3 linked regions of the Drosophila melanogaster genome follow. The protein of the gene in region 2 interacts with the protein of the main gene of each other region in a pairwise test. Each region holds a gene or a part of one and is shown on either strand. Other genes may lie near its edges.

Evidence for each region. Proteins that work in one complex are often made in the same cells at the same time.
Region 1: the proteins of zld (region 2) and Mst98Cb interact in a two-hybrid assay, tested with the Drosophila melanogaster proteins (one large-scale study listed by BioGRID).
Region 3: the proteins of zld (region 2) and CG9192 interact in a two-hybrid assay, tested with the Drosophila melanogaster proteins (one large-scale study listed by BioGRID).

What each region holds. Positions count from the first base shown.
Region 1 is NT_033777.3:28,288,590-28,295,965, forward strand, and holds Mst98Cb (Male-specific RNA 98Cb), read left to right. Parts: upstream 1-4,208; 5' UTR 4,209-4,325; coding exon 4,326-5,123; 3' UTR 5,124-5,274; downstream 5,275-7,376. Other genes in the region: Mst98Ca (Male-specific RNA 98Ca), read left to right, coding at 2,870-3,874; UQCR-14L (Ubiquinol-cytochrome c reductase 14 kDa subunit-like), read left to right, coding at 5,545-5,880.
Region 2 is NC_004354.4:19,778,115-19,786,663, forward strand, and holds the start of zld (zelda), read right to left. Parts: upstream 5,435-8,549; 5' UTR 4,740-5,434; exon of another isoform or gene 4,395-4,739; 5' UTR 4,173-4,394; coding exon 1-4,172. UniProt on the Drosophila melanogaster protein: Transcription factor required for zygotic genome activation (ZGA), a critical event in early embryonic development during which the developmental control passes from maternally provided mRNAs to the expression of the zygotic genome after fertilization.
Region 3 is NT_037436.4:1,235,031-1,242,172, forward strand, and holds CG9192 (uncharacterized protein), read right to left. Parts: upstream 3,290-7,142; 5' UTR 3,206-3,289; coding exon 2,270-3,205; 3' UTR 2,103-2,269; downstream 1-2,102. Other genes in the region: CG33966 (uncharacterized protein), read left to right, coding at 1-203; galene, read left to right, coding at 1,541-1,747, 1,807-2,053, 4,598-4,724, 4,789-6,191, 6,247-6,452; Klp61F (Kinesin-like protein at 61F), read right to left, coding at 6,938-6,961, 7,046-7,142.

The DNA.
Region 1 (7,376 bases), on a different chromosome or scaffold from region 2:
GCAAATGCCTTTCCCCCCCTTCCCGTGCACATCGGCATGCTTTACAATACACAGAATCGTTGAGGCCACGCATTTTGACTTCGGTATTTGCGGCTTTTTATGTAATTCATGGTCATTCCCCATATGCATATGCCGGCAAATTTACTGCCTGGTCAAAAAAAAAAGTCCACAACTTATATTCACGGATTTTGGCAGAGACAAGCCTTCTCGAAAATTACGTAATTTATGCGATTTTTCATACAGTTTCCCACTGAGATGATGAAAGTTAAGCAAACATCAAAGTAGAAATAATCGTGAAAAAAATATTTTACCTGCAGCTATGAATTTTAATATACTGTTCATGTTTTTTATTTGTCCCAAAGAATACCTACTCATACCTACTTTTATTACACTTTTAAAAGTCGTACATTTAACATCAATTTTGAGAGTATAAATATATATTACCAATTATTCAAGTTAAAAAAAATGCTACTTCTTATTTCTCAGTGTATTTGAATGGCATTGCGTTTTATTTGTCATTTCCGGTTTGTGCCGGAAGTTAAAATTATTGAAATCAAACGGAAATGCATCGAAGCAAATGCGTAAAAAAGCGGGAGCCGAAAAATATGATTAACCCATTTAAAATTATGGCAAATATTTGAATTGATTCTCAGACCTTATTAAAAGTGTTATGTCATTAAATTTCTCATTTAACTTGTATGTATATTTATGTATATAAATGGAGTTAAGATTTCGAACCGCTAATAATTTAAAATACAATAATATTATTCACGTCTGCGCTTCAGTAGGTTAAGTCCCGACTCCGATAGAACAACGATCCATCAGCGTATATGTCTGTGAATATATATATGCTGTGCGCAGCCCATAAATAAATATATAAATTTAAATAAAGGCCGCCGCAATACCCGCACACTCACAGTTTGTTTGTCAATAAATCAGAATACTTATCAACGTCAAAGTACCGCAAAGAATGTGAGCAAACAATAAGAACTAAATGTGTGTGTGTTTCAGGAGGTCCATCAGTTTATTGGGAACTATTAAAGTTATTTATGAAAATAAATGGAATACCTACAACTTAAAAATAAAACCTTTCATTGAGCTACAAACATTTCTACACAGTGCCTAAATTATTCGACAAATGCGCCTCTATCTTGACTCCAGCAGGCATTGTGGGTGCCAATTTATGGGCAATCTGTGCTTATTTTCCCATTTCCCAGCCCAACATTGTTTTGGGCCTAGTCCCGAACTAAGTCCGCTAATTGCGCCGCCTTAGCCGGGCCATCTCGACCGGGTTTCGGGGAAGGCCCCGTCCATAATTATGCGAAATGTGCGCCATTTCTTCGGACTGTTGCCTGTTATTGTTTGCATTATTAGCTGACAATTTCGGTGGCACTGTGATGCCAAGTGGTGGGTCTGTGATTAGGCCGGCTCTTTGGGCTCTGGAAATTGTGGGATTAGCAGGCGCTTTGTCTGTGGCTAGAATCTTGGTCGGGCACCATCAGCCTGTCGCTCGATAAGCGCTCCAGGGCAACTCGAGTCCAAGAAGTTGATGTTTTTCTTGCATGATTACGACCATAAGCCAACGGCGTGTTATTGCAGGCCAAAGAAGTGGACGGTTTTCTTGGGAAACGCCCGAGTTCAAATCGATTGAACCAATGTTGCTCTTTAAATTGGTTTAATTTAGACATTTATTGTATCTCAACTTCCTGGAAGCAACTTGATTAAATTTCCTAATTTAAATAACCGGAACTATTGGACAGCAACTAATTCTGAAGAGCAAAGGCCATCTAAAATATCGCTTGATTTCTTAGCTATCACTAATGTGACTATCAATTCGAGGAAATGAAATTTTGTAGAATTAATAAAAGTCGTGTGTTATTAAGAAAATATTAAAACGTATTATATTTATTGTTTGAATACCAGAACGTTTCTTATTCCGAGCACATATTGTAGCGTTTGCCCCTCGCTTTTGGCATTTAAAATGGAGCAAATATTTTAGAATTCACCTGAATCGCATGCAAAAGCCTTTGTCAACATCAATGGTCCGCTGTGACCACGCTCTTTGTTGTAGTTTTTTGTGAATGCGCAATTGTTCAGTGTCGTCATGGCTGTGGCATGCACAAAGCGCCGATTGCAACGCCCATCCATCCACCCAGCAACCCCCCCCCCCCCCCACCTACTAAAGCTTTCAGGATATGCCATCCAACTACCAACTACCATACCGACCAAAACGCTTTTTTTTCGGCGCTGACATGTCCAGGCACTGGGGCAAAAACAAACCCATATATGTATATTCAATAGGCCGGGCGCTGCCAGAGTGTTTTCCGACGTTTTTCTGTAATTCGTTGTAGGTTTTTTCCAAGTTGGCTTTCGGCCGGTCCGAAAAAAGCGGCCTGCCTACATAAAGGCGCTAGCATATTAAAGGCTTAAACCCACTCAACGGCAGATGCCATATTGTTGAAATATATGCAGATACGTCGCGCATACGTCATGTGAAGATGGAATCCGGTTTGCAAAATGCATTCCATTCAAGCAGCGTTCTGTGATTTTTCATTGCAATCGGTTAAGCAATCGAATCCACCAGATTTATGTATTGTAAGCATATATTTCCATTCAAAGCTCAAAGCGATTTTCACCTTACCTGCACAACAAAAACACTACACTAGGGTGTGATCGTAGAGCTCGGTTTTTCAAATTTCGATCGAAGTGGGCCTGGATTATTGTGCAATGCTGTCGTCCTACTGTTATATCTCATTCAGTTTCCTGTTTCGCTCCGAATAACTTCCAAATTGAACAGTAAAAATTTGTAACAAAAATAAAGTATAATATTTTTCTAGAAATTTTATTTTGGAAAACTTAAGTCGAAAACATGTGCTCTCCGTGCGGTCCTTGTAGTCCATGCGATCCCTGCTGCGGTCCCTTCGAGTGCTCACCCAAGTGCTATAATGCCGCCCAATTGGAGGCCTTGCCACAATGTGCTCCACGTATTCCACCTCCCTTCCCCAAATGCATCACCGTGCAGCAACCACCACGCATGATCTGCAAGAAACGCGTGGTGTTCACGGAGAAGATTGTGCCGGAGCCAATGGTGGTTAACCGATGCAGACAGATTACCATTCCAAAGGTCGTTGATGCCACGCGGGTGATCAAGGTGCCCAAGCTGATTTGGGTGTCGCAGATGGTGCGAGAACCCAGAGTAATCTACTACCCCTCGATGATCCCCGATCCCTATGTGGTGTGCTATCCCAAGCGCGTCTGCGAACCCCGGGAGGTGTGTCAGTCGATCCTGTGCCAGCCGAAGCCACAGACCATCGACATTCCGCCGCCAAGGGAGTACTGCTGCTATCCAAATGGACCCATCAACTACAAGCCCAGTGCAGCGTGCCCACCCTGCCCCATTGGACCATGTGCTCCTGGAGGACCCTGCTGTCCGCTGCCCTGCTTCTCCACAAACCAGTATCCCGTTGCCGAGGGTAGGTGCGGACCCTGTGGACCTTGCGGTCCAGGATGCGGACCCTGCGGTCCGCGATGTGGTCCCTGCGGACCCGGCCCGTGCGGACCCTGTGGGCCGAGATGCGGTCCGGGTGGACCGTGCGCCGTGCCCAATTGCGGGCCCTGCGGCCTCACAATGCCGTCGGGTCCGTTTGTCCCGGCTCCGTGTGGACCCTGTGCTCCATGCGGGCCATGTGGACCGCTCGGCAATAGTCCTTGCGGTCCTTGCGGACCCTGCGGACCCTGTTCGCCCCCGTGTCCGTACGAGTCACCCGAGTGCGGCCCCTGCTACCCGTGCGCCCCAACTCCCTGGAATACCCACTGCGGCCCAGTTGGTCCTTGCGGTCCTCAAGTGCCTTGTGGACCCAGCGGCCCCTGTTAACATCATCGTTGTGCTGCCTGGATTGTTGTCAGAAACCGGTGCCCAGTGGACCAACTTGTCTATCACCAATACAGATTGCCATAGTGTATTCTCGCCGTTCTGCTCAAACACCACCAAAAAAGTCTACAGTTCTCTATACTTTGTCAACGCATGGACGACTCATTGGCTGTAAATAAAAATCGGATTTATGCATATATAAGGTTTTTTCAATTTCTTTTGACAGGTTATGCAATGGTTTCTATCCAGATAAAATTTTCTACCAAATTTTTGTCAAATAGTAGGCCTTGCCTCTGCTTGTCAATCTACCTATGTTCGTTACTCAGGCTTAGCTCGCATTTTGAATCCGGTTTCGCTTCGATACACTTCTAAATTTCTCTGATCAAATTTTATAAGAAACAAAAAACAAAAATTAACTTTTTACTCTTTCGGTTTATTCTAGTCGAAACTTAAAATGTGCTCTCCGTGCGGTCCTTGTAGTCCATGCGATCCCTGCTGCGGTCCCTTCGAGTGCTCACCCAAGTGCTACAATGCCGCCCAATTGGAGGCCTTGCCACAATGTGCTCCACGTATTCCACCACCCTTCCCCAAATGCATCACCGTGCAGCAACCACCACGCATGATCTGCAAGAAACGCGTTGTGTTCACGGAGAAGATTGTGCCGGAGCCAATGGTGGTTAACCGATGCAGGCAGATCACCATTCCAAAGGTCGTTGATGCCACGCGGGTGATCAAGGTGCCCAAGCTGATTTGGGTGTCGCAGATGGTGCGAGAACCCAGAGTAATCTACTACCCCTCGATGATCCCCGACCCCTATGTGGTGTGCTATCCCAAGCGCGTCTGCGAACCACGTGAGGTGTGTCAGTCGATCCTCTGCCAGCCGAAGCCCCAAACCATCGACATTCCGCCGCCGAGGGAGTACTGCTGCTATCCAAATGGACCCATCAACTACAAGCCCAGTGCAGCGTGCCCACCCTGCCCCATTGGACCATGTGCTCCTGGAGGACCCTGCTGTCCGCTGCCCTGCTTCTCCACAAACCAATACCCAGTGGCTGAGGGCAGATGCGGACCATGTGGACCCTGTGGACCCGGATGCGGACCTTGCGGACCCTGCGGACCTTGGGGACCAGGATGCGGTCCTTGCGGACCCTGTGGACCCTGCGGACCCTTCGGACCAGGCTGTGGTCCATGCGGACCGTGTGGACCCTGCGGACCTGGCCCTTGTGGCTTCGGTCCTTGCGGACCATGCTGATCTGTAAAACAGCTGGAAAGATCTACTTGACGTCTGCCAAAAACATTTTGTGACAACTCCGCGTTATGGAAGTCCACATCCGCGCTCAATTATATGACAGTCCAAATTAACTTTGCAAGTTTTGTAAATTAAAGAAGTGCATTGATACAATATTTAAACCACATTTTTTCTTCGGGCATTTGTTTCGGAAATTTCGTTGTTTCATTGCATTTAATATGCTATGTATTTTTCAGATAACGAAAGTTGAGATTCGGGATTTTTGTTTCGAAAGGCCTGTTGGGGAATTTTTATTTTATTTTATTATTATTTTAAAAACTCATACTTGTTAGTTCACCAGTGTAGCCCTGAGTCACCTGTCAGCTTGTGGACTTACTGGTAATAGTTGTAGTAGTCATATCCAAATTATTCTTGATCTTAAATCATGTCGAAATATGTGGCTAGAGTGGGCCCAGCGGTTTTCTCCAAGTTGGGAAAGTGGGCCTACAACATGTCTGGATTCAACCAATACGGCCTGTATCGCGATGACTGTCTGTACGAGAATGAGGATGTGGCAGAAGCAGTGCGTCGTCTGCCCCGCAAACTGTACGATGAACGCAACTATCGCATTCTTCGAGCACTGCACCTTTCCATGACCAAGACGATCCTGCCCAAGGAGCAGTGGACCAAGTACGAGGAGGACATCAAGTACTTGGAGCCCTATCTTAACGAAGTGCAAAAGGAGCGCGAAGAGCGTGAGGAATGGAGCAAAACTCATTGATCCGGATACTTCGGTTACAAAGAATGTCATAACCAAAACATAAAGGTTATTTAAATAAATCGTTAATATAAATAGGCATAGAAAAAAAAACAACTTTAATTATCTGGTTTTAATATCATAACATCTAATATCACTTTATCGCCAGCTTTTTTTAAGCGCGTCTCTCAATATCGTCAGCCGTTTAAAAATCCCCTGCGATCCACAGCAATGTCAACGCAAATAATTTTCGCATTAAGTGCATTCGCATAAATACAATATATGAAATTCATTAACAGCGAATACAATACAAATTAGTGCTGCTGGGTGGGGCGTGAGCCGCCCATTGAACATGTGTATGCCGCCCCACGATTTAAAATGACAGTGGAGGAGTGGGCGTGGCAGCGTCAGCGGCAAACAAAATGCGTGTGCATGGCCCGCACATCCTGTCAATCCTCGTATACTTATGCGCATCCTGTTTAAAATGCAGCAAACAGCAACAATGCAGTTGCAGTTGCGATTGCCGTTGCAGATGCAGATACTTTCGCAGTCGTATATATCTGCATCTCTGCCGCTGTCTGATTGTTCTGGCGCTGCCATTCGACCGGAAGAAATTATTGTTATTCGAATTGATCTGCCATAGTTTCGATTTCGATGTTGGCCACTGCGATAGGCAATGCTCCTGCCATGGAGCGATATCGCTGCGTCTGCGGCCAGTAACTGCCAGAGTTCTGATAACGTCAACGCAGGAGGATGCAGCAAACGTAATGGTTACCCTGTAATGTTAAGGGCTGAAGGTATGTAACGCTGTTCAAAATTTAGGTAAAAGTATCTCCTCAATCCTTAAATTACAAATAATAATTCAAGTAACTGTCAATCAAATCTCTACCCTACCCACATCAATTTCAAAATGATGGCTTTTAACTCGCAATTATGTACTGAGTATTTCTTAGTCTAATTCTTCTTGAGCAGCCCTTTTTTTTCAAGCCGCCATCGTTGCCGTTATTTATTTGCGCTCACATATGCATAAATAACGGGCGGTGGACGTCACCACCCACCCACCCAGCCACCCAACCAACACGGGAACGCCCAACTGGCGCTTGTACAATAAATTGCAAAAATATTATTTTATCAACAATAATTAATTAAATGCACTTAATTGCGTGCCGCAGTTGCTGTTGCTGTGTTGTTGCTCGGCTTTCATTTTTATTTATTTTTGTTGCCTCATTTTTGTGCACATTTTCTGCTGTCCCCCGTTCGACCTTGTTTTTATGCAGCTGCTACTGATGTGGCATGGTGGGTGGTGGCTGCAACATGGTCATCTGCATGCATATGCTTGAGCAGAGTTGTAAGTAGCCATGTAAGTGGACAAGTGGCCAACCGTTCCCGCATCGCATTCACTGCCATTCTCCCCGTTTGGCCGAAACTCTTTCTGCGATTTATGCGTATTTTTAAGTGGCATTAAGTGCGCGTTAACATCTTATGAAGCTGGCAGCGGCAACAATAATTTATTGCGGCAG
Region 2 (8,549 bases):
TTGGGGCACAGCTCGCACTTATGCGGCTTGTCCTGGGTGCGGTGGCGACCCAGGTGCGTGGTGTAGACATCCTCGCTCTGAAAGCGCTTGCCGCACTTCTGGCAGCGAAATGGGTACTCACCGGAGTGGAAGCTCTTGTTGTGCTGCGTGAGGTAGCAGTTCTTGGTGAACTCCTTGTCGCACTCCAGACACTTGATCCGTCCCGATGGCAGGGTGGTCGAGTGCGGCGACGTCGATCCGACGCTGCTGTTCCGCCGTCGCTTCGTCGTCGATGGTGTTGCGTTGCCGCCACGCCGCTTCTTGGCCAGCGGCTGTTGGGCCATCGTCTGGGTCTGATCCGCCAGGATCTGTTGCTGCTGCTGGTGGTCCAGTTGCTGCTGGTGCTGCTGCATCTGATCCAACTGCTGGTGCTGCATCTGGTACTGCTCCATCTCATAGTCCTGATGGTGCTGCATCAGCGTGGCCATATCCATCTCCAGTGCGGGAGTCGCCCGCGAGCTGCTCACTGTGGGCGAGTAGGGCGTGGAGAGCACAGTCAGCGTTGGCGTCTGCGCCTCCTGCTGCCCGCCCTGCTGATGGGCATGCAGGGCCGTCGTGAGTGTGTGAACCGGCGGCAGATCGCCCTCCTGCGGCGATCGCTGGGCGGCCACCGAGTACGGCGAGAGCGGTGCATATGGCGCGAACAGGGATGTTGGCATCAGCTGCAGGATCTGGCCATCGCTGGTGGTGATCTGATTGCTATAGCCACCGCCGGCCGTTCCGGTATGCGCCTCCGGGCCACTACCAATAATAGTGTGATAGCTCATTGTGGGGTCCAGCGGCTGCAGCTGCTGGTAGCATTGCGGCGGCGGCGGCATGATGGGCATGTGCATGGTGGGCGGCATGGGCATGGTGCTGGTGATGTGCGGCGGCGGCGGCTGCAGCGGCAGCAGCTGCGGCGCTGTGATGGTGGTGAGCGGCATGGGCATGGTGGGCGGTGGGGAGCTGCTGGTGGGCGAACTGCTGCTGTGCGGCAAACTGTCCGCCAGGATTAACGCCTGCTGCTGCTGCTGCTGCTGATCCAGTTGGTGAAGCTCCCGCTGCTGCTGATGATGATCCGCCTCCTGGCGCTGGTGCTGCTCCCCCAGCTGCTGATGGAGCGGGTGGAGCACCGCCTGGTAGTGGTGCACCAGCTGCTGCTGCGGCGGCTGCATAGTGTCCGGCATACTGGTGGTGATGGTAGTAGCTAGCGGCGTGGTGCTGGTGCTGCTGCACTGCAGCATATTGCTGTGCATGAGCGTGGGCATGGGCATGGGCATATCCAAAGCCAGCATGTTGTAGTCCATTGCCATAGGCGGCAGCATTCCCATAGGCGGCAGCGGCTGCGGCGGCGGGGTGGTGCGCGAGAAATCCGTTCCCTGCTGCTCCTGCCGGTAGATAGTATGGGGCGAGTTGCTGCTGGGCGTGCTGGGATTGGTGTTGCTGCTGCTGAGCGTGTTGGGCGTGCTGCTGTGGTAATGACGCGCCGACAGCAGATACTGCTGCGACGCCTGTTGATGCTGATGCAGGTGATCGTCCGCCTGCTCCTGATCCCGCAGCTCCTGCTCCTCCGCCTCCTCCGTGGCCATTGAGCTGCTGCTGCTGCTGCTGTGGCTCCTGTCCTGGCTGTGACTGTGATTGGGATGCGTGTGTGTGTGGGTGTGAGTGTGGTTGCTGTCCTCCATTTGCTCGCTCTTTATAGCTACCGTGGTGGCCGCCGTTGTTGTTGTTGTTGCTGTTGTTGTGATTTGTGGTGCTCGGGTTGTTGTTGTTGGTGGCGGCGTGGTTGTTGTTTCGTTCAGCAGGCCCCTCATTTGGGAGGACGGCATTTGGGTGGTGTTGTTGTTGTGTGGGGCGGAGGGACCTGCTAGCCCGTTTGGGTGACCGTTCAAAACGGAGTTGTGGTGCTGCGGCATCTGCTGCTGATGGTGCTGCTGCTGTTGTTGCTGCTGCTGCTGGTTGTTGCTGTTGTTGTTGGAAGCGTGCTGTGGTGAAGCGTTTGTCGTGGATTGCACTTGTTGCTGCATGTAGCCATAGCCGTTGGCGGTGCCATTAGCATAGCCGTTGGCCTGCTGCTGATGGTGGTTGAGGTGGTGCTGCTGCTGCTGTGTGGGCGAGGGTGAGGCCGAGTACTGGGACATGGCAGCGCCGCCCATCGCTCCCACGCCCAAGCCGCCTCCTCCGCCATAATCGGGCGGACTTCTAGGCGGCTCCGGGGGTGGCACATTGGCCGGCGGCGGCGGTATCGGCGGCTGTTGCTGCTGACCCTGACCGCTGGCCGAGGCGGCAGCTGCAGCGGCGGCCGCAGCGGCTGCGGCATTGCCCCTGCGACTGGGCTTCGTCACCGGGTCGCGGGCGGGATGGTGGTGCGCCGAGATGGGCAGGGTGGCTGGATCCGGCTGGCCGCTCGACTTAACCGCATTCTTGTGCAGCGTCGTATTGTAGTGGCGCTTAAGATGGCCCGAGCTGGTGAACCACTTGTTGCAGGCCGTGCAGTTGTACGTTTTCGGACGGCGCGCCTCGTTCGACTTCCAGGTGGCCGCCTTGGCCGTCAGGCTGTTGGCCGGCAGCACGGAGCTCGAGCTGGGTGGCTCGAAACCGCGGTATCCACCTCCTGGCGCCGCACCCGCCGCTCCCTCCTGCCCTGGTCCGCCCGTAGTGGTGCTGGGGAACTCCGCCGGACTGGTGGCCACGCTGGCGCACAGTTCCGCGCCACCAGCTCCGCCAGCTGTGGGATCGAAGGACTTGTCCACGTAATGCTGCGAATCGGGATACTCGGACTTGATCAGTCCGTGGCCGCCGTACTCCTGCTTGATCAGCGTGGCTCCGCCAACGCCGGTTGACTGATGATAGGGTGACTGCTTTGGTGAGTAGTAGGGCGACTTGTCCACACCGACTCCCAGCCCCACGCCCAATCCCTGCTGCATGTAGGGTGGCAGGCCCTCCACGGAGGCCACCGTCTGCTGTGGCTGCTGCTCCCAGCTGTGGAGTGCGCGCTGCTGCATAGATTGCATCGAGTGCAGCGGATCCGGCAGAGCGCCCAGCGGCAGTCCAGCGACCACGTCGTGTTGCTGTTGTTGCTGCTGGAGCAGCTGCTGGTGATAGACCATCTTCTGGGAATCTAGGTCGAGTAATTCGCCGGGATTGGCCGTTGCGGATCCAACGCCGGGTGGCTGTGGTGTGGGCATCTCCTCCTTGATGTACGGTGAACTGGCGTAACCGCTGCTGCCGTACGGCGACTCTCCGTGCACGTTGGCGATGTGCTCCTGTAGCTCCGACTCGTTGGTGGTGAGGATGCCGCACTTCTTGCACTGCAACTTGCATCCGGCACTTCCGGCGGCTCCGCCTGGTGAGCCTGGTGTCTGGCCACTGGAGCTGCCCAGCTGCAGGTGCGAGGACGTCGACGTTGGACTGCTGCTGCTAACCACACGCGGACTCATGGCCACCGCTGTGGTGGTGCTGACCGCGCTGGGCGCACTGCCCGCCTCCTCCTGTGCCGAGCTGGCCGTTGGAATGCCTCCCAGTCCGGAGGTTGGCGTCTGCAGGTAGGGATGATAGCGAACACCGGCGCTCTTGCCATAGTCAACGCCCACGGTGCCAAAGGCGTAATCAGTGCCCTGCTGCTGCTGCTGTTGCTGCTGGTAGAACTGCTCGTAGCTGTTGATGTAGCTGCTGGCGTAACCCTGCTGCTGCTGCATGTCCCCGCCGTAGAGTCCGCCGTAGATCTGCTGCTGTTGTTGCTGCTGTCCGCCAGATGCGGAGTACATGTGGTGGGTGGCGTACGGCTGGTGGGTGATACCCGTTACCTGCTGCTGCTGTTGCTGCTGCTGGGGATCTCCTCCACCCATGGCCTGCTGCTGCTGCTGTTGCGATTGTGGCTGCTGCAACTGTTGCTGCGTCGATTGCTGCTGTTGCGTGGGCTGCGGCGTGCCGGGTTGATTATCACTGGAGTCGGCGGCGGCGCTAATTGTGGCATTGGGTGTGGCGGGCGCACTGCCTACGCCTCCCGTTCCTCCCGCTCCTGGTCCGCCCGATCCTCCTCCACCTCCTCCTCCTCCTCCTCCTGCTCCTCCCCCACCACTGTCTGTAGCACTGCTGGAGGCGAGCGCCTCTGCCGCGTGCAGGGGCGGCATCTCGGTCTTAATGCTCGTCATGGACCGCTACATAAGTCGATGCTTGGTGGCTGCTCGGTGTTTCGCTTCTCATGTCTCGAGCTCTCCGGGATCAGTGGTGCATCCTCTGCTCCTGCTGCTACGCTGCTTGCTTTTCGTTGGCTCTGCTGAGCCGATCGTTTTTGTTTTGGGTTTTTATGTTATATGCTCTCGTTTCGTTTTATTTTTTTGTGATTTTTTGTTTTTTTGTGCTTTGTATTTGTACTGAAAATAAGCCAATTATTGTTTAAGCCATTATTAGTTTGAAGTTACTTGAGTTGCAAACGGAAAAAAAACAAACACATGCACACTGTGTTTTCAAAGCTTTTGGTGTCTAACGGTTCTTGGTGTCCATTTCACTTCGATGCGAAATTGCAGGCACTTTTGTAATTTGATTTGTATGGTGGAAATACAATAGCTTTTACTTGCGAACGTAATGTCAACTGCAATTGTTTGTGGAGAGCACACATGGACGCTCACGACGCACACTAACACACACACTCGAAAAAAATATATACATGAAGGATCCTCGATGAAGATCCCTTTTCCGTTCTCTTTTGCTTTTCTTACTTATCTGCGCCTCGCTTTGGGCACTTCTTCGTTGGACTTGGACTTCTGCTTCGCTCCTTCTTCTTCTGCTCCGCTCCTCCTCCTTCTTCTCTTTCACCGCTCCTCTTCGGCGAAACGAAAGACACACAACAGCAGACTCGATAAATAATACGAAACTGAACTGAACTGAACTGAAGAAACCAATATCGGAACCGCAACGAATGCTGGTCAATTTTGAATTTCGAATTTTGTTTTTGCGAATTGCGAGGGAAGCGAGAATGGCGATGCGATGTGATCACACTCTCCCTATCTCTCTCTCTCTCTCTTTCTTGCTCTCTCTCGCCACTTTTTTTTTTACCGGTGATTTAGAGTTTTTCGGTTTGGGTTCGCTTTTCGCTTCGCCCTTTTCCAAAAGATCACTGGAATTCGCGTTTATCGTTTATCGGGGATCGGATCGAACAGAAAAAAATTGTTTACGAACACAAGTATTGCATCGGAATTAAATTTGTTGTTGATTCCCGAGCCGCGATTAGTTCGTTTAGTTTGTTTTTCAATTGGTTTGCCGAAAAGTTGTTGCCAAAAATGTTGCGTTTTGTGAGTGGGGAAAATGAAACAAAAAAGGGCGCTAAAAGTAGCCGCTCCACTCCGTTCGCACGCTTCGTCGCTTTTTCACCCGTGTCCTTCTGTCTGCTACGGCGTTCCAAATACAAATGACCGACAAATACACCGCCGTGCATGCGGCACATTCGTTCTACCCGTTCTGCCGGCAGCGACGCCGGCTGCGACTGTGGCTGCGGCGTCGCAGTCGACGCACATGCGTGGCTGTGTGTGTGTGTGCGCTATATACACTGCGCGGCGGCGTTTCGGTTATGTGCGTGCTGTCTCTGTCGCGCACGGCTGCCGTCAACGCCGCTGCATTTGATTTTGCTTTGCTTTTGGTTTTGCCTTTGCTTTGCGCTGCCTTTACTTTGCAATACCCTTTGCATTGAGAGTACCACAAGTTAGCTCGGAATCAAGATAAAGTATCCCATGCATAATTAGCATTAGTTGAGACCTAAGTTTTGCAATCTGTTTAGATCGAACTAATAAATCCTCTCGAAGACATGTACATAAACGATTAGTCGCAATTTGAATGCTTATATTTTTATGCCTTGAATGGCATTATTAGTGAAAACTGATGTTTAATATACATATATACATATGTTTTATAATGCACACATATATACATACGTTTTATAATGCACACAAATTTGAATCCTTTTTTGCAAGCCATCACAATTTTCCACAGAAAATTGCTGAACGGTTATAAAAAAGTAATTTAAGTAAGGTCATTGATAACCGGTTTTGCACTTAACAATCCGTAGAATTTGGATGGATCGCAATTGTAAAGTGTATTTGTAATAATACACAACTTCTGCATTGCCTTTCTAGCAGCAAATCAATAGCTTTGATCGTGTTAAAATGATTTTCCACTGTTTATTTATGAAATTATTTCGCTGTATTTGCGTTTCTGGATATATACAGCGAACTGCATATATTTAAGCCGCCCTAGGCACTAAAAATTTTATATGAAATTGTTTTCTTTAGGATGGTTGGATTTCGAAATGTTTATTCCGATCTCTAGCTTAAAACTCTGGCAGTTCGTAGAAGTCATCTACGCTATGAAGAACTTACCATATAAATAAATGTTTATGTACTCTATTGTAATAGCAAAATTTAGCTTAAGTGGCGATAATGTGGATTTTTCAAGAACACAGCGAAGATTGGTTGGCCCTTTTGTGTGATCCACCGATTACCATATCGCAACTCGCCTAATTTAAAGCTGTGTTGCAGTTCTAGGCTTGGTTGCTCAGTTGTGCCCGTTTTTTTTTTTTTAGCCTTGGTACGAACGGCGGCTTATTAATAGACTCCTCGAAGCGTCTTAGTCAGATGTTGACTCACTGGACCGGGCCAAAACCAATTCGCACTACTAGCCTAGTTTCTGAGCGACCGGCAACCGACGATTATCGACGTCACGGGCCTCGTAAAAGTTGAGAACGTTCAAAAAATTAATAAACCAAACTTTTATTGCGTTGGGCATACGGGAGTGCAGAGCTGAGAGACAACGAAAGCTAATCTACATTTAAAAAGAAAGGAAAAAATCGTAAGCTAGGACTAACGGATACCCTGTTATCAGATTCTGTCATAAGATCATAAGCTCACTAGAGAAACTTTTTTAAATAGAAGACTAGAAGAAGACTAAGCATGTAAGTAAGTATGCATAAGTATGTATGTACATATATATTCCAAAGATGCAGGCGATCTTTCGTCTTTCGAATGGGTATGCTTTTTCCAATCTACGATTAAGGGGTATAAATAGCGACAGAAAGGGTTTGAATCTGTTGGTAACTATGGGGTTTCAAGTTGTTTTAGGTTTTATTTTTTTTTTTTTTTTTTGCTGGGCAACTGGAGCTGGGAATCAAGCTCAGCTGAGAATGGCCCAAAAGTATTTAAAAATTTCGTAAGAGAAAAGGCGAGGGCTAATGGAGCCCAGATACGAGTACCTCCATCGCAGCCACACAGATACGAACTCCACTGTGCGGCTGTGTGCGTGGGGCCTTGAGGAAGAGTTTAGATTGGAGTAGGGCCGGAGGAGGGAGCGAGAGAAGGCGAGAGTGAGGCGGCGGAGAAGAGTGCGACAGAGAGGCCTGAAATTTACATACATGATTGTCATAAAAAATCAGCAAGCAAATTGTCAAATCCCTAAACTGACAATAAAACAATAAAGCAAACGACGAAGACGAAGACGCGGGCGAGACGGACGACGAATGTGGGTGGAAGTGTGGAGAAGAAGGCGAAGAAGAAGGAGGAGGAGGAGGAGGATGGGGCAATGCGAGGGAGGGAGAAAACGATTGGCGAGTTGAGTGATTGGCAGTGAAAACCGGCTGCAAATCCCGAGATCTGATATTCCACATATGTATATGTATGTACATATCTCACGGATAGTTAAACTCCGTTAGGAGATATCTATGAAACCAATTTGTTGGTTAAAAATATATTTTTATTCAGTATATTTAGTATACATTCATACACTTATGTATATCGTCACTATTCGACGATCTGCTGTACATTTTCTTTGTATTTCTTTGATTGCACAGTTTATTTAGTGATTAAAAAATGTATTAAGCCTAGTTAAAAAAGCCTACTAACCATTTCTTAATTATCATTAATTTAATATTGAGATAAACCCCACAATTTCCATTGATTCCCTAATCGGTAATTAACTTATATATGCATATGTTCATACTTATGTACATATGTACATATGTTATAGAGAATTATGGACATGTAGAAATTGTTAGCATATGTTGCCTGCGGTGGCAGGTGGCAAAATGGCTGGAGGGGAGAGCATTGCTGCAAAAGCTGATGCAACTGTTGCAGCTGATGCAGTCGACTGCAATGGGATTAGCCCATTTTATGGCGCATTTATGGGCACGCAACAGTTGACCTGCAGTGGCAAAAGTTGCAGAACTTCCAGGCAGGTCATCTGCCCCTCCAGGTCTGCAGATACAGATACATGGTAGCAATTAATTATACCCTGTAATCGGATGTAATAACCACGAAGTACCAGAAAGCGACACTTGTCACATAACCTTGGAGTGGGTTAGATATTTTTCTATACATTGAAGTTTAATCCTTTGAAATGAGAAATATAGTGAGAGATCGTCTTCAATCATGTTTCACAATTATCGTTATATTTTGTAGCATATTACGTCGTATCACAGTGACGATTACATTACCAACTTAATTAATTAAAAATAATAATGCTCATAGTATTTTCTTAGTCTGGTG
Region 3 (7,142 bases), on a different chromosome or scaffold from region 2:
ATTTGCCAGTGGAATACGGAGGGGAGAACGGATCGATTCCGGAGCTGCTGCAGCAGTGGGAGCAGCGTATTCTAGCCTACCGGAATTACTGGGAGGAGGAGAAGAACTACGGAACCGATGAAAGCCTCCGAGTGGGTCAGCCTGTTGACTTCGAGAGTCTTTTTGGTCTGCAGGGCTCCTTCCGGCAATTGAATGTGGACTGAAGTGTCAAGCCCTCCTAACCCTGCTAAATTGCTTAAAATAGTCTTAGCTGCAGCTCTTATCTAAGGTAACAAAGGTAATGGTTGTACACCAGTCGATTTGTGATAAGCATAGCGCTAAGAGCATAAAAAACAAGCCGAAAACTTAGCACAGCATGTAATAAAGATAGTTAATTTTATATTCAATTACACGTTAACGAGTTTATGATTTTCATTTAAAAATTGTAGATTAAGTCCATGCATTGCTTATCAGTTAGACCACCTGTAGCAGCAGATTAATTGATTCCTTCAATCAGATAGACACCATAATCAAAACACAAAGTGCGACGACTGAGAGAGCCAAACAATACAAAACAAACGACGACCAGAGAAAAGCCGAAAATAAAAGTTTTTCCAAAACTATATATCTACGGAAGACAAGAGAACTTCGCGTTAGACCAAAAATAAACCCAATTTCCCGAGCGATCCGTGGAGAGTCCATCTGTAGCTGCGATCCGCAGTAAGAATTTGTGGCTCGTACGGATCGGTGCTTCTTTTCTCTGTACGGATCCCATCGGATATAGAATCGGAAACGGATTGTTAGACGGAAGACGGGAGAGTGCGGGCAAAATATACAGCATGGAACTTAATGTGGAAAACTGAAAAGTTTTCCTCAGTGCGAATCAGAAGGCGATCAGCGATCGGTAATCATCATTAACAGCAGTCCAATGCCCAATCCCGATGGGCCCATAATTCACCAGCGCTAATTGCCCACATGAAATCGAAGTTCATAATTGCTCGGACATGTTATGTAGTCCGCATCTATAAGCAAGAGGAACCAGCAGAGTTCTCGACAGGCGTGGCACGAGATTTGACGATGAGATGAATGCCCCGCCGGGCGGCGGCACCCAAAATAGTCTCATGGAGTCGAGTCTTCCGCACCTGATCCCCTTGGCTCTTCGGCCTTGCCCCAGCAACCCAAATAAATAAATATTTGGACAAATAAACATATGTGCCGTGGAGCTTTGTCTGGTTTACCTTTTGGCTTCTCGGTAATTGCTCCTTTGGAGATTACCAACGATTTCTGAAACGAACGCCATAGAAGGCGTGTTTATTCGCAGGCATAATTTTAAACATTATGTAGCATTCCCATTAAGGTTACTACAATATATTACTTCGGAGAGGCACTCTCAAACAACTCTTCATCTCAACAACAATTTACAATTTCTAAGGGTATTTGCCAGGCCGACCTCCAAACATTTTCGTCCCATCCTTTATTTAGTTTATTTTGCCTTTCATAATTCACAGCCAACCGAGCGGCAAATTAGCCAAAGGAAGGAGGAGGCCAGAGGAGGGTGACCATGTCGGGTAGGCGGGCCCAATCTCTGCCGGCGCACATGTTGGAGCCAGCGAAGCCGCAACGCGGACGCTGTGTAGCTGCCATCTGCTTCTCGTGGAAGGTGCTCACCTGCATTGTGTCCCATGTGCTGCTCGTGCTTCTCGTGGTTTCCTATTGCGTGGGCGGTGCCTACCTCTTCCAGCATCTCGAACGACCCCACGAACTAGAGGTGAGTGGGTGATTTTGCTGGAAGGTCTCAAATGCTAAAAATCCAAAATCCCCATGCAGGTGAAGCGAGACATACAGAATCTTCGCGTTAATCTCACGGAGAATATCTGGCTACTGTCCGACGACGCAGTGGTCCTAAGGGAAAGCGATTGGATGGCCAATGTCAGCAAGCACCTGGCCAATTTTGAAAAGCAAATCCTTACGGCCATCAAGGCCGACGGCTGGGATGGCGACGAGGATCTGCGCAAGTCCCAGTGGACCTTTGCCGGATCCCTGTTCTACTCGATTATTGTGATAACGACCATAGGTGAGTATGTTTTTTTTAAGCTTATGGATTGAGTTCTTCAAAGTCATGTGTGAGTAAACATGGGAATTTATTTGCTTAGTCTATACGTAAACTATGCCTACACTAAGGTGACTACTTCCAACTCAGCCTAAGGGAAAAAGGAGGGTTGAGTGGGAAAGTAATAGCTTCAGTTCCATATCTTTAACATAACACCTTCCACTTCTAAAACACGAAGCTCTAGACCTTCTTACTGAGCTTATCATTCACTTTTCTGGGTGACGCTGCCACACTCTTAGCACTCTTACCATCGGCCACAGCTGGCGATTTCTCGTCATAGCCGAAGCCTCCTCCTAGAGGTGGAAAACTTCCACCGTATCCGAGTCCACCGTTGCCTACTCCAAGTTGACCTAAGCCCAGTCCTCCTGCCAGACCATAGCCCTCGGTGTACTGAGGTCCACCGAACTGTTGGTTTGCTGGGTACTGTCCCAATCCTGGGAACTGGGCACCTGCGCCCGCGAATTGGCTTCCACCGAAGTCGCCACCTGGATAGGAGCCGTAAGGGTATTGCCCATTGCCAGGAAATTGGTTGAGGCCAAGTCCATTACTGGGGAAGTTGTTAAACCCACCACCCACGCTGGCTCCGGGGAATCCAGCTCCGGGAAGTCCCTGTCCTACTCCTCCGTATCCGCCTGGATATCCACTAATGCCATTTTGAGCTCCAGAGAATCCACCATAGCCTGGCTGATAGGGAGTGGGGTATAGCTGCGGTCTCCCTATGATTCCGGTGGGTCCGCCAGGTCCGACTAGCACTCCGGGGTTTCCGTTATAGCCTCCAAGTCCTCCGAACTGTCCGGCATTGGTCTGACCACCGTATGGATTAAACTGACGGGTGCCTACGTTGGGAGTGTCCGATGACCTGGTGGGCTCCACATCGGCATAGTCCTCTATCTCATCATTCTCCGGTTCGCCCGGAAAAGGTCTTCGAGTCGTGGGCTCCCGCCTCAGCTTTTCGTCGTACGAGTTCCTTATGGGGGAACTGCGATTGATGTCCCGAAAAGAGCGCTCCCTGCGATTGTAGGACCTCCAGACCCACTGATCTCGATCTCCATCCGAAGACTTAGCCGCCACTGATCCAAGAAGGCATAGGACGATGATGAGGCAATAGCTTGGCATGATTGGCACGCTTTGTTCGATTACACACTGACCCGATTTTTGCGCTTGATCGCGGCAAGCTCCCGCAACAGAATAGTTCGAAAATGCGACCGGCACACACTACTTATATAACCGCACCCGAGAACCAAAAAACAAATACAACCGCCAGAGACATCAGCGGCGATGACGACGCACAAACTCAGTCAAGCGACGAGGGCAGCCGCAGGTATTCGCATTCGGCGGCTGCCCGACCAATGAATCAACGATCGTGCCAGACAGAAATCTTCAGAGATCTGTGGCCCAAGTCTTGGCCCACGTTGATTCACCTGAAGCGCGACCAGACCGCAATCCGCCCAGGAACCAATGAGGCAAGCGGATGAGTCGGACAATTGGTTTTGTCCACACAGCGATCACGTTGAAATCGCATAAATCACGGTAATTGACCACCACCGATCGACCTAAAAGCTTATTCCTGGGAATTTCCATGAGTTGGAAAACATATGCTTGCTTCCTTTGCAGGGCGGGAGTCACAAGTCAAAGATTCAGCTCGGACACAGTCAGGTGAGCAGCCAGCACGTGGTTGACCTCTAAAAATGGGTTCATTCGGGTGGTGATGGCTTTCAAAGGGAGCGAGGGTGTGTGGAGCGTGTCAAATGAAACCAAAAGTGGATTGCTGCCATCCAATTGTTTGTGGTCAAAACAACAGCAAGGTCAAACGCCACTGACCGATCGTGATTATCTTTTCTGGCATTTCAGATTTTTAGATTTTAACGATGGGAATTTCTCATTATTAGTATACCCTAACACACAGGGGGTGTTGGTGATTAGTGATTACTCATAAAAGGGGAAGTGGTGCATGGAAGGTTTTCAATCGAAGGCCTTAAGCAAACCCCAAGAACTCTATAAACTCTCCTACTTTAAAAGTATACAGAAACCTTTTTCACTTTAACCCACTTAGAGCATTCAACTTTTCGGCTTTCGAGTGGAAGTATTTGGTATAAATCAGTTTATTAGCTCTGGCTGTTGATGATGGGAGCTTAGTTTTACGCTTTTCGTCTGCACTTTTCCCCGATATGGATTTACGGCTAGCACACAAATGGGTTTAGTGACCGACGCCCATCAGATAGAACCCCGCGAAGAGGGGCACAGAATGCTATCTACGAATTTGCACACTTCCGTAAAGGCCAAAAGCGGCAGACTTGAAATGCCATGTTTGCTATTTCGAAGCGATAATGGGCTTGGCATGAACAAAAAGAAGTACATATGGATTGGGGATTGGGCCTTAGCGGGTCTTAGATTCATTAGTATTTCAAGAACTTTGCGGTCACGAGGTTGAAGGTGAAAGGTGACTCAAAATCAATCTTACCTATCTGCGAAAGAGTAATTATGTGTTCCTTGTCATTCTCTGGACAGGCTATGGTCACATATCGCCGCGTACGGATTGGGGCAAGGTGACAACGATTTTCTACGCCATTGTGGGCATTCCGCTGATGCTCATCTGCTTGTCCAACATTGGCGATGTCATGGCCACATCATTTCGGTGAGTTGACATCGATGAGCTGAGAACTAAATGAGTATGTTTTCATACATATATTCCAATATAGGTTTCTGTACTGGAGAATATGCTGCTATGTGTGCACCCGCACGGCCAAACGTCCGAGGAATGCCCGATCCCGGCAGAGATCGATGCGCTCTCAGCGCCATGCCCGATCCCAGCCGCCGCCCTCGTTCCGGCGCTCCATGAAGATGACCCAACGGTCTGGGAATGACTCGGGTCTGGGTCCTTCCATGGGTCATGCCTATTCAGATCCCGACCTGCGCACCATGGGCCGGGGCTACGATGACCGCGAGTTCGGACATCGGAGCAGTGGAGGCGGACGCAATCGTCGTCAGCAGCAGCAGCAGCATTTGCATCACGATCCTCGCCAGCGTCACACCATTTACGGAGATGGGTACGAAACTCAGACCCTGAACAGATCCAACCGCTACAGTAGCCGGCAAAGACAACGGGATCGGATGAGGGACAGACACACGGTAGAAAGGGAGCGCTACTCTCGATCCCACTTGGATGCTGGATCCATTGAGGACTTCGGTGACATGCAACCTCCTGCGAAAAGAGCTGCCAGTGTGCGATCGGTTCGATCGCCACACAATCAGGAATCTTCCAAAGCGTCCAGAGAACTGCATCGTCTTCACTCGGCACCTGGGAGAAGTAGGGCCAAGTCCGTGGATCCCAGGCACGTTTCTTCACATTACGAAGACGTCGACGAGGACGTGGTGAGGAAAACACCAATTATACCAAATAGGTATGCTTTAGATGACTTCGGGGGCAACAGAAGACAAGCAGCTCCAAGGAGTCAATCCATGCCCAGATCTGCTCACCAAAGGCAACGCCAGAAGGACAGAGAACGGGAACGATCTCCACAGCCGCCACCGCAGAGCTCCTATCGCCAACAGCATGATAGACGAGCTGGAAGTCTGGGCAGGCAATCATCTCGCTATGGCAACCATCTCGAACTTCCCGACTATGATGCTCCACCGCCGGGACGGGACCATCGACGGGATAGGCGTGGTCACTCCCAGGGTCGCTACGAGGACTACGTGGAAGAGAGCTTCGATGAGGGATCCCTTTACGGAGACAATAACTACGAGGATTATCCGCCTGAGCGCCACCACTCAAGGAGTCGAGAACCAAAAAGAAATCGCCGAAGAGAGCGGGCTGAACGTTTGCCCCCTTCCCCGAGAATCATGTCACCAATGGGATTTCCGGTCCAGCGGCAAATCCGTCGGCGACCCAGCTACGATTACGACGACGATGACTCTATGTACGGGGATGAGTATGGGGACTATGGAGATCTGCTGCCCAAGGATCGACCTGTCCCCATTTGGTTATGCGTCTTTCTGGTAGTGAGCTACATCCTTGGCGGAGCTGTTCTTTTTGCGTACTGGGAGAACTGGTCCTTCTTGGATTCCGCCTACTTTTGCTTCATTACACTGACAACAATCGGTTTGTGTTTATCCCAATTCCTTGCGCACTCTTTTCATCTGCTTTTGCATTACAGGATTTGGTGACTTTGTCCCCGCGAAAGGAGTCAAGGACGAGTCGGAGCAGTCCATCGCCTATTGCTCGCTGTACCTTCTTTTCGGCATTGCCTTGTTGGCCATGAGTTTTAACCTGGTCCAGGAGGAGTTCATTGCCAATGTGAAGGAGGTAGCCCGCCGTCTGGGCATTCTTAAGGATGATGACGACGAGCAGGATGAGGATTAGTAATAGATAGATAGATAGTTATGACATCTGTTTTTTCCTAAATATGTTGGATGCTCTAATTATAAGGAACACACTTTGAAAGATGGATATTTAATATGTTTAAATGTTTTATGAAAAAAAACTTCAACAAATTTAAATTCACAAACGAGAATATGATAAGTAAAATAGTTAAGATTATATTAATTATAAAGCGCTTCCTTGGAAGGCATGACATCATTAAAAAACCAAATTCACTTCTTCCCTAAAAAATAGTATCGAAGTTTAAGAATACCTTCTGATATATCTTAAACCTGCACTTGAACTAAAGATTTCCTTAACTTTACATAGCATACTGAGTTTATTTAAATAATAAATGTACGAAATTCCAAAGATTGATATACAGATAAAATGAATATCCAGAAGAGCCAAACAAACACAGCGATCCGAAATCCACTAACATAAACGGGTTACTGGGAAGGGGAGACTACTACTGTCATCGAATGCAATCAGGCTACGTTTTCTTTGTTGTGCTAAAAATATTGAAAATAAAAGCAATGATAATATATCCCCACCCTTTATTTGTTAAGTCATTAGCGGACTTGCACTTGACTTACCCTGACGAAGGCGGGAGAACCTCGAGGTGACGTTTTACTGGGTGTCAGGGAACGTGACAACGAGCTGCTGCGTTTTCCACCAGTAGCTACGGGTGGC